Linked DNA regions of Caenorhabditis elegans. The protein of the gene in region 1 purifies or fractionates together with the protein of each later gene. This does not show direct contact. Each region holds a gene or a part of one and is shown in the gene's direction. Other genes may lie near its edges.

Evidence for each region. Proteins that work in one complex are often made in the same cells at the same time.
Region 2: the proteins of fbxb-3 (region 1) and F48B9.8 fractionate together in Caenorhabditis elegans (co-fractionation; one large-scale study listed by BioGRID). This does not show direct contact.

Annotation. Positions count from the first base shown.
Region 1 is NC_003282.8:11,835,275-11,842,213, forward strand, and holds fbxb-3 (F-box domain-containing protein), read left to right. Parts: upstream 1-3,682; 5' UTR 3,683-3,705; coding exon 3,706-3,794; intron 3,795-3,973; coding exon 3,974-4,970; 3' UTR 4,971-5,152; downstream 5,153-6,939.
Region 2 is NC_003284.9:2,171,945-2,180,079, reverse strand, and holds F48B9.8 (RDD domain-containing protein), read left to right. Parts: upstream 1-3,668; 5' UTR 3,669-3,690; coding exon 3,691-3,855; intron 3,856-4,653; coding exon 4,654-4,757; intron 4,758-4,804; coding exon 4,805-4,909; intron 4,910-4,957; coding exon 4,958-5,078; intron 5,079-5,124; coding exon 5,125-5,282; intron 5,283-5,912; coding exon 5,913-6,051; 3' UTR 6,052-6,183; downstream 6,184-8,135. Other genes in the region: F48B9.3 (ZP domain-containing protein), read right to left, coding at 6,243-6,973, 7,019-7,139, 7,182-7,267.

The DNA of each region.
Region 1 (6,939 bases):
AGATGGGAAAAGATGTTCTTTACTTTGGACTACTTGATGTGGCATTATTCGATATTCTCAACACATCAAAAATTGAAGTGTTTTTCATCTTTATGAACCGTGATTGTCGCATTTTCGAAAATCTTCCTCAGACATTTTAGGAAGGAAATGTCATTTTTATTTCCTTAGATACTCCACATTCAATTGTTTTCTGGGATAATCTTGACATTGAAAGCATTATTGAAAACCAGTTATCCAAAGTTGACAATTTCCAGCATTTGACAAAAGTTGTATCTAACCTCACAACCAGGCCACAAAATAATAATTCAAAATTTCAAATTGCTCAACGCAAGTCAGTGTTTTTTGTGCAATATCACATTGAACGATTTGATACTAAATAACAGTAGTTTTGCATACTTGGAATATATGAAGTTTAACGAGAAAGACATCAGCATTTTTCTAAAACATTGGATTAATGGATCAAATGAAAGACTGATTCATTTGTTCTTATCAGGAGAATCCGCGTTCAATGACAGAGAATTGTCTGTCAAAACTATTCTCAATGGAATTGGTTGTGAGAGAGCTTCACCTACCCGAACAATGTCACATTTGCCTAGCTCAGTAAAAGAGCTTGTTGGTAATTTTCCAAGCACACTCAAAAATAGCTTCGACATTACAAACAAAGACGGAACTGCTGCAACAGTCACTATAGAAAAATCTACGCGGGACAAGATACATGTTTTCTTGACTGTCTGGGATGTATAAATTTACAAATGCTTTTTTATTTATTACTGTATCGCTTAACGGAACGTCTGGAACAGTTTCTATACTAATAACTCGAGACATTCTACTTTTTGGCCCAAATTGTTTATCTTTATAGCATGTTTCTTCTTTTCTATATTTTTTATTCAAGCATGTAATTTTTTATTTTCTTCATCCATGTTTCTTGTTTGAAATCAAAAAGTTAATAAATGTTGTTTATCTAAACCGATTATTATCTAATTGACCAACCTCTAAATCCCACCGGGAAAACACACAAATTTTGCCATTAAATTCTAGCTTCTTACAGTTATAGGTATTGAACAGTTTCCAACCATGCACATTTGTGTAGCTCATTAAAAGAGCTTGTTGATTATTTTCCAAACACACTCAAAAATAGGTTCGACATTATAACTAAAAATGGAACTGCTGCAACAATCACTATAGAAGAATCTATGCCAAACAATTTACGTGTTTCCTTGACTGTATGTGATGTATAAATTTACAAACTTGTGTTTTCGTTATTACTGTGTCGGTTATCTTTTATTGAATAAAAACCTATAACTTCGTTGAATATCAGTTTTGAGAAATTCTGAAAAATGCTAGTTGCATTTGACCTAAACTTTTTTGTCTTACTTTTCCAAGTCTTACTCCTAAACACAGGCAAATCGGGTACGGTCCGTTTACGGATCTTGGACCAGGAACAGACCATTAACGGGCGAACTACGGATATGAAAAGCGGGACGGACCAATTACGGGCAAACTACGGGGAATGTAAAAAATGGCCATTAAGAGGAAAAAATGGATTTTAAGAAAACGAATTTTTTTTTAATACCTATGATACCAGTTGGCTAATTCAAGCATTTTTACGTCGTTAAATGCATTATTTAGAGCAAAAACCACATTTACCGACCGAGATGGCTCTTGAGCCGTAGTTGGGCCGTTTCCGGTCCGTAGACGGACCGTAAATGAACCGTCCCGGGCACCAAATTTTTGTTTTTGAAAATTTCAGGTTCTAGCACGGAAAAAGTGCTCAAATTAGCCAAAGGAGAGTGTAGGCACTTCAAAAACTCCATTTTCATGAAAAATGTTTTCGTATTATCCTCCGTTTTGGTGATCATCCGTAGTTTGGCCGTAGCCGGTCCGTAGATGGTCCGTAAATTAACCGTCGCGGTCGGCAAAACTGCACTTTTTAAAACTAAACCTTGAATCAGGCAAAAAATTAGCCAACTGGCTACAATGAACCAAATAGCATTGTAGGTACTTCAAAAACTCAATTTTCATGAAAAAAAATTCCTCTGGGCAACCATTTTGTCTATCATCCGTCCAACTGGTCCGTACGCGGCCCGTAATCGCATGCGATCTAACTGAGGCTATTAAGCATTAAATTGTGTGTAAAAGAGGTTATATTAATATAATCCTATAAACATATCAATAAAAAAGATGAAATGCCACAATTGGGTAGATACTGTGTATACGCAACGTTCACTCTCTGTGCTGGTCTTCTTCAGCTGAGCAACAGGACCATTTTTTGAAATATCATAAAATATTTTACTAACAATACATTCTGGAATCATATCGTTTCTGTTCCGTGTGTATTTTAAGAAATTAAGGTATCATTCAAGTAGAACGCATATACCTTATTTCCTCTATTAGTATTGCAACCCGGTCCAATCGAAAATTAGTCTTGCATGCAAGACTAATAGAGGAAATATGGTAAGTACCATTTTTGTATTACAAGTAGATGGAGCACGTATAGGTAGATGTTGAGAAATATGCGAAATAAGTTCTGAACTACACGAAACTGTCAATTGTTATCGTTCGCTTTCATATAAGTCCAACGGCAAGATGGAGAATCAGAAACTACTGAAAATACAATCGAAAAAGTTGGTGTAAGACGTGAAAACCAGAAGAAAATGCGCGAGCGCGAGCTAATCGCTATTTATGCGAAGTCTATTGATTTTCCTCACGTGCGCGAACGGCCAAACGGTAAGGTGATGGGCCAGTTATCAATCGACAGGCAGTGGACAGGTTCAACTCCGGCTGAGACAGATAGATTTGCTACAACGAAGGATCACCGGAAGACGGTCTGGAGCAAGACCGGAGCTCGGAGGAGCATTGGGAAAGAAAAAGGGGGCAGCTGGAGGGTGAAAAAATTTTCCCATTTTTTAGTCTCCTTACGGTTCAATTACGGTCCGTTGACGGACCGGGAATCGAACCGTGAACTGTTCTTAAATTTGAGCCGTTCCCGGTCCGTGAACGGACCGTTTTGGGCACTTTCCGCTTTGCCTGTGAAATATGCACCAATTAAAAATTAACATTGAACCGAATTATTTTTAGTTCAACAGGTCTCAGAATCATTTGTATGGATTTATTTCTGGAAAGACCGAGTGGCAGTGGCAGGTGTGTCTCAAAGGGAATCTACGTCATAAGGTCACTCACATGTTTCCTTGACTGCCTGGGATGTATAAATTTACAATAGTTTTCTTATTTATTACTGTGCCGGTTATTTTTCATTATATAAAAATCTATTATTTCGTTGAGTATCAGTTTTAAGGAATTCGGAAAAATACTAGTTGCAATCGACCTAAACTTTTTAGCTTACTTTTTTTACTCCTATGAACCAATTAATAATTAGCATTGAACCGGTTTGTTGCTAGTTTAATAGGTCTCATAATAATTAGTATGTACTTATTTCTGGAAAGAAAAGAAAAGAGTCGGATCAGTCTTAGTGTCTTAAAGGGAATCTACGTCATAAGGTCAATCTGACAGGGATGGCTACACACAATTAATGGTCAATGTAGTCATTCACAGCGTCAAATCGATACTAAATCATTTGCTCTTTTTATCCAATAATTGTCCTTGTTACTCAAAAACAATCCGTCTATCTATGTCTTTTTGTATTTTGAAGAATTTTTCAGACTAATTTGAACAAGTATTTTCAGTTCAACTTGTGATTCCAAAATCATGCAGGACGGTGAATCTAATTTCCCTCTTCTCCTTCTACCCGAAAACGCTAAGAAACATGTTCTTCGAACAATGGACGTGGATTTTCTGTATGTTTCCCAAAAACCACAAATTCATATTATTGTTTTGCGTACCTATTTTTAAAATATGTTATTCTTACATTTATGAGCACTTGTTTTGCTAGACTTTTTTCAATTAGAAAAAGGAAAACTAAAATCACTTTTTATTGGAGTGACATCACTGATCATTTTCTCAATTTGTTTTTCAGGCTCTCACTTTCCTTCTGCTCCAAAAGGACTAAACACATTGTGCAATCTCTCAAACTAAAATTCGAGCATTTTAAGATGGATCTGTTAGGCAAAACGAAGTTGATGATTAATTTTCGATCAACTACAATTTTGCTTGTTTTTAACGCACTCTATGGAGATAAAGCATGGAAAGATGTGTTTCGAACTGTTGTGTCAACGGGTCCTCCTAATGCCCGATACTATAACACTAACTTTTTCAAAAGTTTTGGATGGGAAAGAAAAGAACTCGCAGTTGAAGATACGATTTATCATATATTTGACATTTTGAACACAAACGTGATCGACGTATTTTTGGACTGTAATAACAGAAACATGTTTTTCTTCGAAAAGTTATCTCAGACTTTTCGAGAAAGAAACGTTCGTAGAATATCGTTGGGTTCTATGCAGAATCCTATTTTCAATAGTTTTTCGTACCTTGAAAACTCTTTAAGAAACCAGTTTCTGGAGTTGGAGGGCCTTGCATATCTTAGAGAATTATATCGTACCTTGCAAGAAGAACACAAAATTTTGATTCAAAACTTTAACTATCTCAATCCCAATTTGCCTTCTACAGGCAAAATGACATTGAATGAGTTGTTATTAATTAACAGTTCTCACATTACTTTGACTTTTAATGAAATGGCTTTGAATGAGAAAAGTCTTAATATTTTCTTGAAGCATTGGATTAATGGATCCAATAAAAAACTTGACTATATGTACTTATCCGGATTTACACAACTCGGAGAGACATCAGTGGCTATCGAAGCAATACTCAAAAGGATTGTTCATAAAGAGGCTTCCCATGACAGACTATTTAAGAAGTTCTATGACCCGGGATCGAATGGAAATATCGGTGATAATTCATCAAGTCTTAAACATGGATTTGACATAATAAGTAATGACGGAACGCCTGCAACAGCTTCTATACGTATATCGGAAGGCGTTATATACTTTCAAATGAAAGTCTGGGACCAGTAACCCTTTCAATCACAATTTATCTTCAAACCATATTTTTTATCTTCCTTTTTATTCTCTTATAAGAACATGGATGTTGTTATTAATGCAGTAATTGGCGTTTTTTGTCAACTTTACACTGAAATTTTCATTTTCTATACTCATAATTCCTTCGAGCAAAAATAAATAAACTTTTAAATGATAAATAGACCTATCTCCTCCGAGATCGCGACAAGCTCATAAAACAATATACATCATTTCATCTTAGGTCACGATAAGCTTAAGATTGCCTTCTTATGAATTCATAGACTAGTCTTTCAGCATCATCTCATTCATTTCTTCAATTGCTTAATCTCGTCAAACCTAATAAAAACACTTTCATTGTGTTATCTTATATCCATTTCCTGCTAGGTAACTATAGAAACTCAAGTGTTATGCTAACAGGTGTATATTTCTCCAATGCAACTTTATTTGATATTACACGAATCGTATAGTTGTTTTCTGTTCTCGATTATTCGATTTTATATATTAAAACATTGAAAAAAATACACAACAAGGATAGACCTTTCAAGAGGTACAATTGTTCAAAGGAAAACATAAGAAAATGAAGTTCAGTGAAGTGAAAGGAAACCTTACTACTAAAATTGTAGGGTGTCTCATGCTGTAGTTATTGAACAAGTTTTACTACTTATCATGTTTTTGAACTAATTTTTTGGTTGGAACTTGTATAAATTATTCCATCAGTTCAAATAGTAATCTCCATTTTTTTCAAAAAAAAACTGTCGGTAATTTGTCTAAAAGCTTACCTAAAATCCCATAGCAAATAGGCAAAGGTTATGTGAAGCTAGGGTGAATTGACTGCATGAACACTATGTGACTTGGTAGCACAGACTTTGAAGTTTGGTCATCAGTTATAGATAATTTTGTTGAAATGTTATACATGAGCCAAGTGGATGTGAAAAGTAGACACAAAAATAATAATTTTTCTTGCTGGAAAAGAGGAAAATAGTGAATAGTTGGAATGATTGGCCACCGAAGTTAAAAATGGCATTTTTTTAATCGTTTAGTATTTTTAACTTTTTGATATCAATTCTTATATACGGAATTTTTTATACTGAAAAATTAAAATTGCTTTTTCAGTGTTCGCTGTTCAAAAATTTTCTTTGCGAAAAAATGTCCTAGTAAATAACTGTATATTATTAGAAATTATAAAAGTAGCTAATAAATATTGCGCCATTTTTAGAACTTGATTAAGCCAACTCTAACACCTACGTGAATGCCTATTTGCCTGCCTACAAGGCAGGCAAGCACGCTTACTCACGTGCATATGTGCCTGGATACCAGAGCATTGAAACATGATAAACATTTTATTACCAAATAATTTAGAAACCAAGCAACTTGCAGAAAAATGGAAAATACGCCCGCTCTCTCACCAGCTCGCGCCTCGCCCGCACGCCCGTGCGCCTAAAAAACGCCCCGAAGAGAAAAAAATTCATAGCTTGTAAAACATTTATTTTCAATTAAATATATAATCTTCCATTATTATGAAACACCAATAATTAACATGATGGCAATTTATGAAGGTAGGGGAGAAAGGCGCCCCACGCTTCACCCGGTTGGGATGCCTAGGCATTTCAAAGTGTCAGCCCCTGCAACTTCCTCACTTAGCTTTTTTTGTCAGTTTCAAGATATCAATGACATCATAAATTGAATCCAAAAAAAGACCACCTTCTTTTCCGTTTCTTTTCACATTTCTTTCCTTCCGTTTCTTGCACACCCTCTAATCACACCCATTGTGTTCCTAGTATTTCTTTTCAAACAATGATCAACTATTTCTTTTTCTTTTTTCTTTTAAATTGTCTCCCATAATATTTCAGTTCACAAATCTCAATTGTCAATATTATGTTTCTTCTGTTTCACTTTCTCTGTTCTCATTATTATTTTGGGTTGAAGGGGGGGAAAGGCGCGTGCTCCTACCAGTTGGCATGGCACC
Region 2 (8,135 bases), on another chromosome or scaffold:
CAATTGAAAAAAAAAACAATTAGTGATTTTGAAATTGTCAGTGCTAAATATTCCAAATATTATAGTAAAAACTTTTTGAAAAATTTTGAAAACTTTTATTTAGAGCAGAAATGAGTTTCGTAAAAAACTTCTCGAAAAAAGTTTTGCAAATGTTTGCGGCGGTGCAAAACTTTGAAAAAAAACGGCCTAATTTTAACTAAACTCTCCAAATTTTGGTCCATTATCGGTCTGAACTTTACTTAGTTTTTGGTATTATTAGGGTACATGCAAAACAGATAAGTCATCAATTTTAGTAATTTCAGTCAAAAAACGTCAACTTCTGACCGCGATGGCTCGGAAAAATGGCCAAAATAGGAGACTTTTGCTTTAAAAAAATAGACCATTTTTTTCAAAATTGGAAAAAAGGTTTTTGAAATATTTTTGAGAAGATATTTCACGAAATTTGTTAAATTAGTACATTTTGAATCTTTATGTACGTTTTGATTTTTTAAAATATTCAGTAATTTTTAACGTGTAGTCAGACTAAGTTCCCACTAAATACTCCATTGTTAAACTCTCAAACAATTTACAATTTTTCATTATCAACTACAAAACAAATAAAACAGTGTGATAACCAGACTTCAGACGCCTAAGATGAGATGCATCGTTGTTGTTTTTTCTGTGTTTGCTGTGATGTCTTTGAACAGGATTTACTCGGAACACAATCGAATGGTATGCGAAGAATGAGTCTAAATACATTAACCACCACTAATTGGAAGGCTGAAGAACCTGACATGAAAAAGAGAAAAAAATGAAGGTTTTGGTATGACAGCAGGATAAATAAGAAAAGGTTGAAAATGAAAATTGAAGGAGAGAAAAAAAACGTATAGTGAATAAATATTCTCTCCAAAAATGAAAGAGTTATAAAACAATCCGGAAGAAAAAAAGGAGGTGAAATAAATCAACGGGCAGTCCGTCTGTCAGTCAGATGGCGTAGAACTGAGGATGATATATGCAATGCATCCAACTAATTGAGAGCCAATGTCAAAAATTTTTGGATGCAATAACTCGGTATATGTATAAAGTATCAGTATAGGTATAATTATAAGTGAAAATTTTTGAAGTACATAACTTATGCATTTAATTTTAGACAAATCAAAATTAAAACTGCAAAAAAAAAAAAATCATGTGACATAAGGGTTTTCAGACCACTTCCGGTCACCATCAATTTCCAGTTGAATCAAGTCTACACAACCGCTTGGCATAAGAAATACACAACAAATAACTGTCAATTCTCTGTAACGTCTTCTATTCTTTTCTTTTTTGTTGGCTGTCAATTGTTGTATAGATAGTATGAATAAACAATGCGTGTGGGGTAGAAAAAAAATGTGATGAGAAGAAGAAAAACGAATCAGAAAAAAATTCCTTTTCTTTTCTCACTTCCATATCTGTCCTCTTTCTTCTCATACCGTATCGTGCTCTCTTTATCATTGTCTCTCTCTCTATCACTGTCGCGTCGTTTCCTCCCCGCGTCTCTTTAGGTGTTTCTCTATCACTCGTATCTTACGGCCACCCCAACCGTCATTACAACTCTGATGCGTACGCTGTCTAGATATCTCATGCGTCGTCGGTGTCGCGCAGGCCAAAGAAAGGGCCCCACGCTCTAGTGGTACTACGACAACTACTATGTACTAGCCCGCCAACATTCTTGGTACCTATTTTTCATTGAGGAGTTATGGCTCAAATTCTCACCCTCGTATCAGAACTTTGGCGGTCTTGGCTACTGTCGTGTGAAAACCCTACTGATACTATTAACAAACACGCGCAGCCTACACAACTTGATCGGCCTTGAAGCGGTCCGTATATAATGTCGGTCTCACGAGATTCTCTTCTCGGTGATCTAAATCATCGTCAAAACCTTCTTGGAGCGTTGTGCGCATCGTTTCTCCGCTAACGATCAACACTAAATCAACTTGGCCTATCTTTCAAAAACTTGGTAATTGTTGGAAAACGGAAACTATGTAGTAGAAAGATCAATTGAATTTATATCGGAAGTTCACCAAAAAAATGGGCAAAAAAGAGAGAAATGCGTTGCACTCACAGCTGTTGAAAGTTGAATGACCTTATCAGTTACGCTCGGGCTATTGTCTGTATGTACATTGGACGGAAGGGAAAAAAACGGTTTTGCGGTTTAATATAGATATCAGCATAGACACTGATGATAATTAGTGCTTGATTAATTTGAATGTATGATACTCCGAAGCAAAAGAATCAAAGTTGTGATTTGAATAAATGAGGAGAAAACAAGAAATCGTTATGCAAGTGTTTTTGGTTTGGCGTAATAAAAATTTGTTATGGACCATTCCGATTACAGAAATTACAGAATACTTTACTTGAACTGATATTAGAGTTTTGAGCACATTACTTCCAAACACAGTTTTAATAACATTACACCCGACAATGACCAAATGCGATATTCTAGTTTAAAAAAATTCAAAAAAAAATTTCATAATTTTATACGATTTTTCGAAAATTTGTAACACCTCACTATCAGTTCTTGCTCCATTTTTAGAAGTCATCGTTCAAAGAAATTGTTCTTTTTATGTTTTATCTCTATGGCCTATTTATGTTTTAAAACCTCAGTAGTTGCCGTTTTTTGTAATAGGACAAACGGCAACGCAGATATGAACTGCCAAATTTGAGTAATGACTCAAAAAAAAGTAAGTTGTGTACATATATATATTTTTAATCCATTACACAACTTGTAAAAAAATCTTCTTCCCAAAAACCTATAAAAATCTACCAACGATAGCGTACAAAATCACGGAAATTTTACATAGAAATAAACGAATGTGAGACAACTCTTCTTCCAAAAGTAAATTCATTCCGCACTATTACCCTAACGTTTCATCGAAGGCTGACTGAATGGAATGTGTGATTCTGAATTGTCATGTTTTATGCCAATAAATAACATTTCCCAAAAATCAAATAAGTATTAGGATTCATGAGCAAAAACAAAGAAAAAAGTTCTTGCGAGATGTGGTCCAAGTGAAATGGAGTACATACAAAGAATGAATATTTTGCAATGAATCTTTCGAGGTGGTATGAAGGGTATCGACCACAATTTTCAAGGTTCCCATGATGATCTTATTTCTGCTAAGCCTACAATTCAAGTGGGTTCAGTACGGATTATCGGTCTGTTCTCTATGATATATGTTCGAGGGTACACTTGACAATCCACTTCATGTTACATATGATTTTTTTTTCAAAATAAATATTTTTTAAATCGAATATTTTTTCAACGCTTCGATTCTGTTCGAATGCAACTATAATATTTTGGTGTACATAAGATTACGCATTCCCTGAATATTCCACACAACTGTCCCCTTTTCCCAAGTGTCGTAAAATATGATGTATTGTCTGCATGTTCACTGCGAGGTCCGCAGAACACATCCTCACGCACTCACTGCATTGATTTTACGCTTTGCATATACAGTGCTGGCCAAAAAAGTATTCCTTTTACCTTTGTTGGTGGAAAATAATTTCCAGCTTCTGACTTATATTCATCCAAAAGAATATACCTTTTTTGGGCTGCACTGTATATTTTTAATTTTTTATAATTACTGTTTCATTTAAAAAAAAACATGCAATACATATACAATTCTATTCCAATTTTTATTGTTTTACAGAACGATGACATCTTCAAAAATAATGGAAACGAGGCGACGTTTCCAGGAAGTGTACGGTCAGCGGAGTGAAGAAAAAGACTACGGATCGATGGAAAACCTGGCCAATGCACATCGAGAATATTTGAAAGTAGTGCGGCGTCAGAATCGAGAAGCTGCTTTACGCCGGATAGATCAATCCATGCAATATGTGAGTTGTTTTGAAATGATAAAAATTTATAAAATCAAAATATTCTTACTATTAGTTTCAAATGTTTTTTTCAAGGTTTAAATCAGGAGTTTTCGAAAATTTTCGACACTTCTTAATTTTCGGAAAAACCATAAATAGAAAATTTTTGGTAAATTGTGGTTTTTCACATTTTTTATTGAAAAATATTCAGAACTTTAATTTCAATCGGCAATATTGTACGCATCCTAAGAATGTTCCTACATCTATTTTTGAAAATAAGCAGAATCCATGAGAATATTTAAAGAAAACCGGAAAAAATTCAAAAAGCATCCGTTTAAAATTTTCCGCCTTTTAAAAAACCCCTCTAAACATTTCCGACATTTCTGATGTCCGGCAAAAGGCATATCGGCAATTTGCCGAAAATTAAAAATTCCGGCAAATTGGCAAACCGGAAATTTGACAATTTGCCGAGTTTGTCGAAAAACAAATTTGCCACCCCTAGTTCAAATCTCAATTAATAAAAACAATAGGATGTTAACCCATTATTTTTTTGCGCCAATGGGCAAACTGTTAAAAGCCACTCGGATAGAGCCAAAATGATCGAATATAGTAGTAAAACTTAAAAAAAAAAGACAACTGTTTTTTTGATCGACGATTTCAAAAAACTTAGAATTGCTCAATTAATAGAAATCATTAAAAGTTTAGAATTTTTTTTTTGAATTTTTGAATTATGATATTTGGTCATTGTGGTGCTATAAGCAACCCGTCTTTAATAACAATTCTAAAAAATAGCATGATTTTAAAACATTTTAATTTCAGGTGGAGCATTTGAGCAGGTCTTTTTCTGCCGAAACTTTTCAACAAAACGTTAACGTAGAAGTTCTCCAACCAGCCCAACCACGTGTTGATTCAGTTCAATTTGAGTATGTTGTTTATTGAGACATTTTTGAAAACGTATTTTCCTTTTCAGAGCTGCAAGCTTCTTGAGACGTCTTCTGGCAGAATTGATAGATTTTGTTTTTATTCTCAGCTTCAAACTTGCTGTAGTTGGAACACTCTCGGAATTGGGTCACATGTAAGAAGAGAATATTCAATTATATCGTACCAAACCTTGTTTTTATAGTGACCTAAAGCAAATCGGAGCAAGCTTGGATGATGATCAGGATGTGATGAACTTCATTAATCTTGCTCAAGACCTTCTCCCAGTTGAAGTTGTGTGTAAAGTATTTTGCTGTTTCGTGGAAGTGAGCATCCAGAAATTACTCAAACAATTGAAATTTTTCTATTCAGGCGGTGTTAATGGCTCGAGGATTTGGACCAATCGGAGTTGGACAGACGTTGGGAAAATGGATGTGTGGAATTCGAGTAATTTCTTGTCGTGATGTTACTTCCGCAGAACGCCCTGATCAAATTATTGTAGAGGGACCCGATTTGATTACTTATTCACAGTAAGTGCAACATATATTTTCTTATTTTCTTATGGTGGGCCAAAATTATGTTGACAGGCATTGCCTTGATTTTCGCACACAAGTCATACTTTCGTGCGAGGATTTTTTTAAAGGAAAATTGCTTTAAAAACATGCCTGTGGCTCCACAATGGACAAAAACTGCAAAAAAAATTTAACAACTAATTTAAAACTTTATATGATTTTTTGAAAATCAGAAAATCTCACAGTTTTGTCAGTTTTCAGTTTTGCATTTTTTGGAATACGTTGATCAAAGTTTCTTTATGTTTCAAAAATAGTAGGGATTCAAATATGCGACAGTGCTATAGTTTCCTCAAAAACTCAGTATTTGTCACTTTTTGACTTCCAATAAAAATGTTCAAGGAATGATAAGAAGCCTCTCCGACTTACTAGTTAGCCAATCAAGATCCACCTAAAATTCCAAATCACAATTTTGAAATTCGGTTGCAAAAAATATTATCTAAATCATAACAAGACAAACTCGCGTTAATTTACTATGTTTGAACTCACCCTCCAAATTTTTTAAGCGAATGTTTTTGTCAACATAATTATGGCTCATCCGGTATTTTTTACAAATAACCAAGGACACAACCGTTCATTCTATTTTTGCAGGGCCCTGAAGCGATCATTCATAAAAAACTTGGTGGTCAGTAGCTTTTTCCCACTGAGCACCGCAGTTTTCCAGATTAACAGAGGACGTGTCTTCTACGATATGATGGTGAAAACTTGTGTAGTTGTAGAAATCAACTAATTTATTGAATGTATTATTTGAAACTGAAGAATCATTCCTTTTTCTTTTTTGCCAGGGTTGGGTTTTGATTTGGGATTTTTTTAATCATTTTTCAACGATATATAATTTATTTTGCAAATAATAAATTAGTATATTTATTTTCACAAAAAAACAGACATTTATTAAAAAACCGTAGTAAAAATTATGACAACTCAGACTGGATTGTTTCCCAAATCAATATTCCAGTAATATGGTTTTCCCGTGTATTCAACAAAACCATAGACGCACATCAGAACAAAAAATGTAAGGGATAACATGATAAGAAAAGCTATCAAAAGCTCCTCTGGCGTCGAAAATTCTTGATTGATGCTAGATTCGATTGTGTGCTCGGGGAGTGGTATGATCACAGCGGAGAATGGCTCTGCTCGCACAATAGTCGAATCTTCTGGCACAGCAGATATCACAAAGGGTTCATAATCTGATTCGTCTTGAGATTCCTCTGATTCGAAGAGGATAATAATTTTTTCTCCGCTTGATTCCACTTGAGTCTCCATTTCGGTTTTTGGTTCTGAATCTGAAGCTTCGTCCTGTTCAAAATAGGTGTTCAAATCGATTTCGTTAGTTTTTTCGTCAGTTTCTTCATCCATGATTTCCTCGATTTCCACTTCCATTTCCCGAATTTCCAATTCTCCAACATCAATCACTTCGGATTCCAAGAATGTGTTACTCGACATAAAAGCAGGCTCACCAATGGTCGACTCGTCGGCGGTTGGAAAGTTTACATGAATTACTGGCTCATCGGATTCCACAAATGACAATTTCGAATTCGAAAGTGATGCTGGCAATATTGCAGATTCAGATGTCCTTTCACATATTCCTGTTACTTCACAAACCTGCTTCAAATATGGATAAATAGGAATTATCCGTATGGAATGCTCATTATCTGAATTGTCTTGAATATTTTTCTGAAAAAGGCGGGAAAACTAACGAGCAAAAGCATGCCCAACATAGGTTTTGGAATCATTATTTGAGTGAACGACTGGGCCTCCAAAATCAGTTACCAGTTGTTCGGTGCACATCTCGCCCGGGATGTCATTACAGACGTGAATCTTAAAACCAATTTTGTTTATCAAGAATTTTTTTAAAATCACTTTAGTTCTTATGAACTCTAAAGAGTGAGCAGTAGCGTTCATTGTTGTAAATACTTCGACTTCTGATCCATTTTTGTGAACCTTATCTGAAAATAATATGATCATATGTTAATCCATGTAATTTCACTTCTATACAATGTTTTAACAATCCATCACAACAGCGATTGTTTAAAAAATATAATAATTCAGTAATGTATAGAACGTTCCCAAAATTTTTTTAGTATTAAGTCGTAGTTTTTGTAAATTTCTAACTTTTCCAAAAATTCATACGGGGCAGATAGCTCAGTCGGCACAGGTAAATCGCGGTTCGTGTATTATACAAAAAATATACACAAAATGTACAAAAAACGAGTACCGGCTAACATGTGTATAATACATGTACAAATCATGAATCGCGACTGTGCGTGTATAATTTATGTATAATTCGTGTATAATACAAAACTCGCGCTCACGATACGTACAATTTCTGTATATTTTATGTTTTATACACGAAATGTATGTGTTAATTTTGTATATATTTTTTATTTTTTGTGAACTGGGGTTGCTAAAAATTGCTTTAGGCAAAATTTATTCATCAAAAAAGAATAAAACACAATTAAAAAACAAATAATAATTAGAATATCATAAAATGTGCACTGGATCCTTCCAAAATCCGGTTCCCATTGCTTGTGCGACGAATGTTCTCTCTGGCAAGTGGACGACCATGCTTCTTTGGTTCCTTTCAGTCCAATTTTACTCTTATCCTTTATGATAGTCCACGTTCTGTAATTTTCAGCTCAGTTTTGAGTGTATTTTGTACATCTCCACACATGGTGGTAAATTACAACGATAACGCTGAAAATTCAAACAGATTCCCAAGAGAATGGTTTTTAGGGCGAGTTGGGTAATAAATACGTCTTCTTGGTGCTGGTTTACAACTACCTAGCGTCTAATAATAATGTATATTCAAAAATA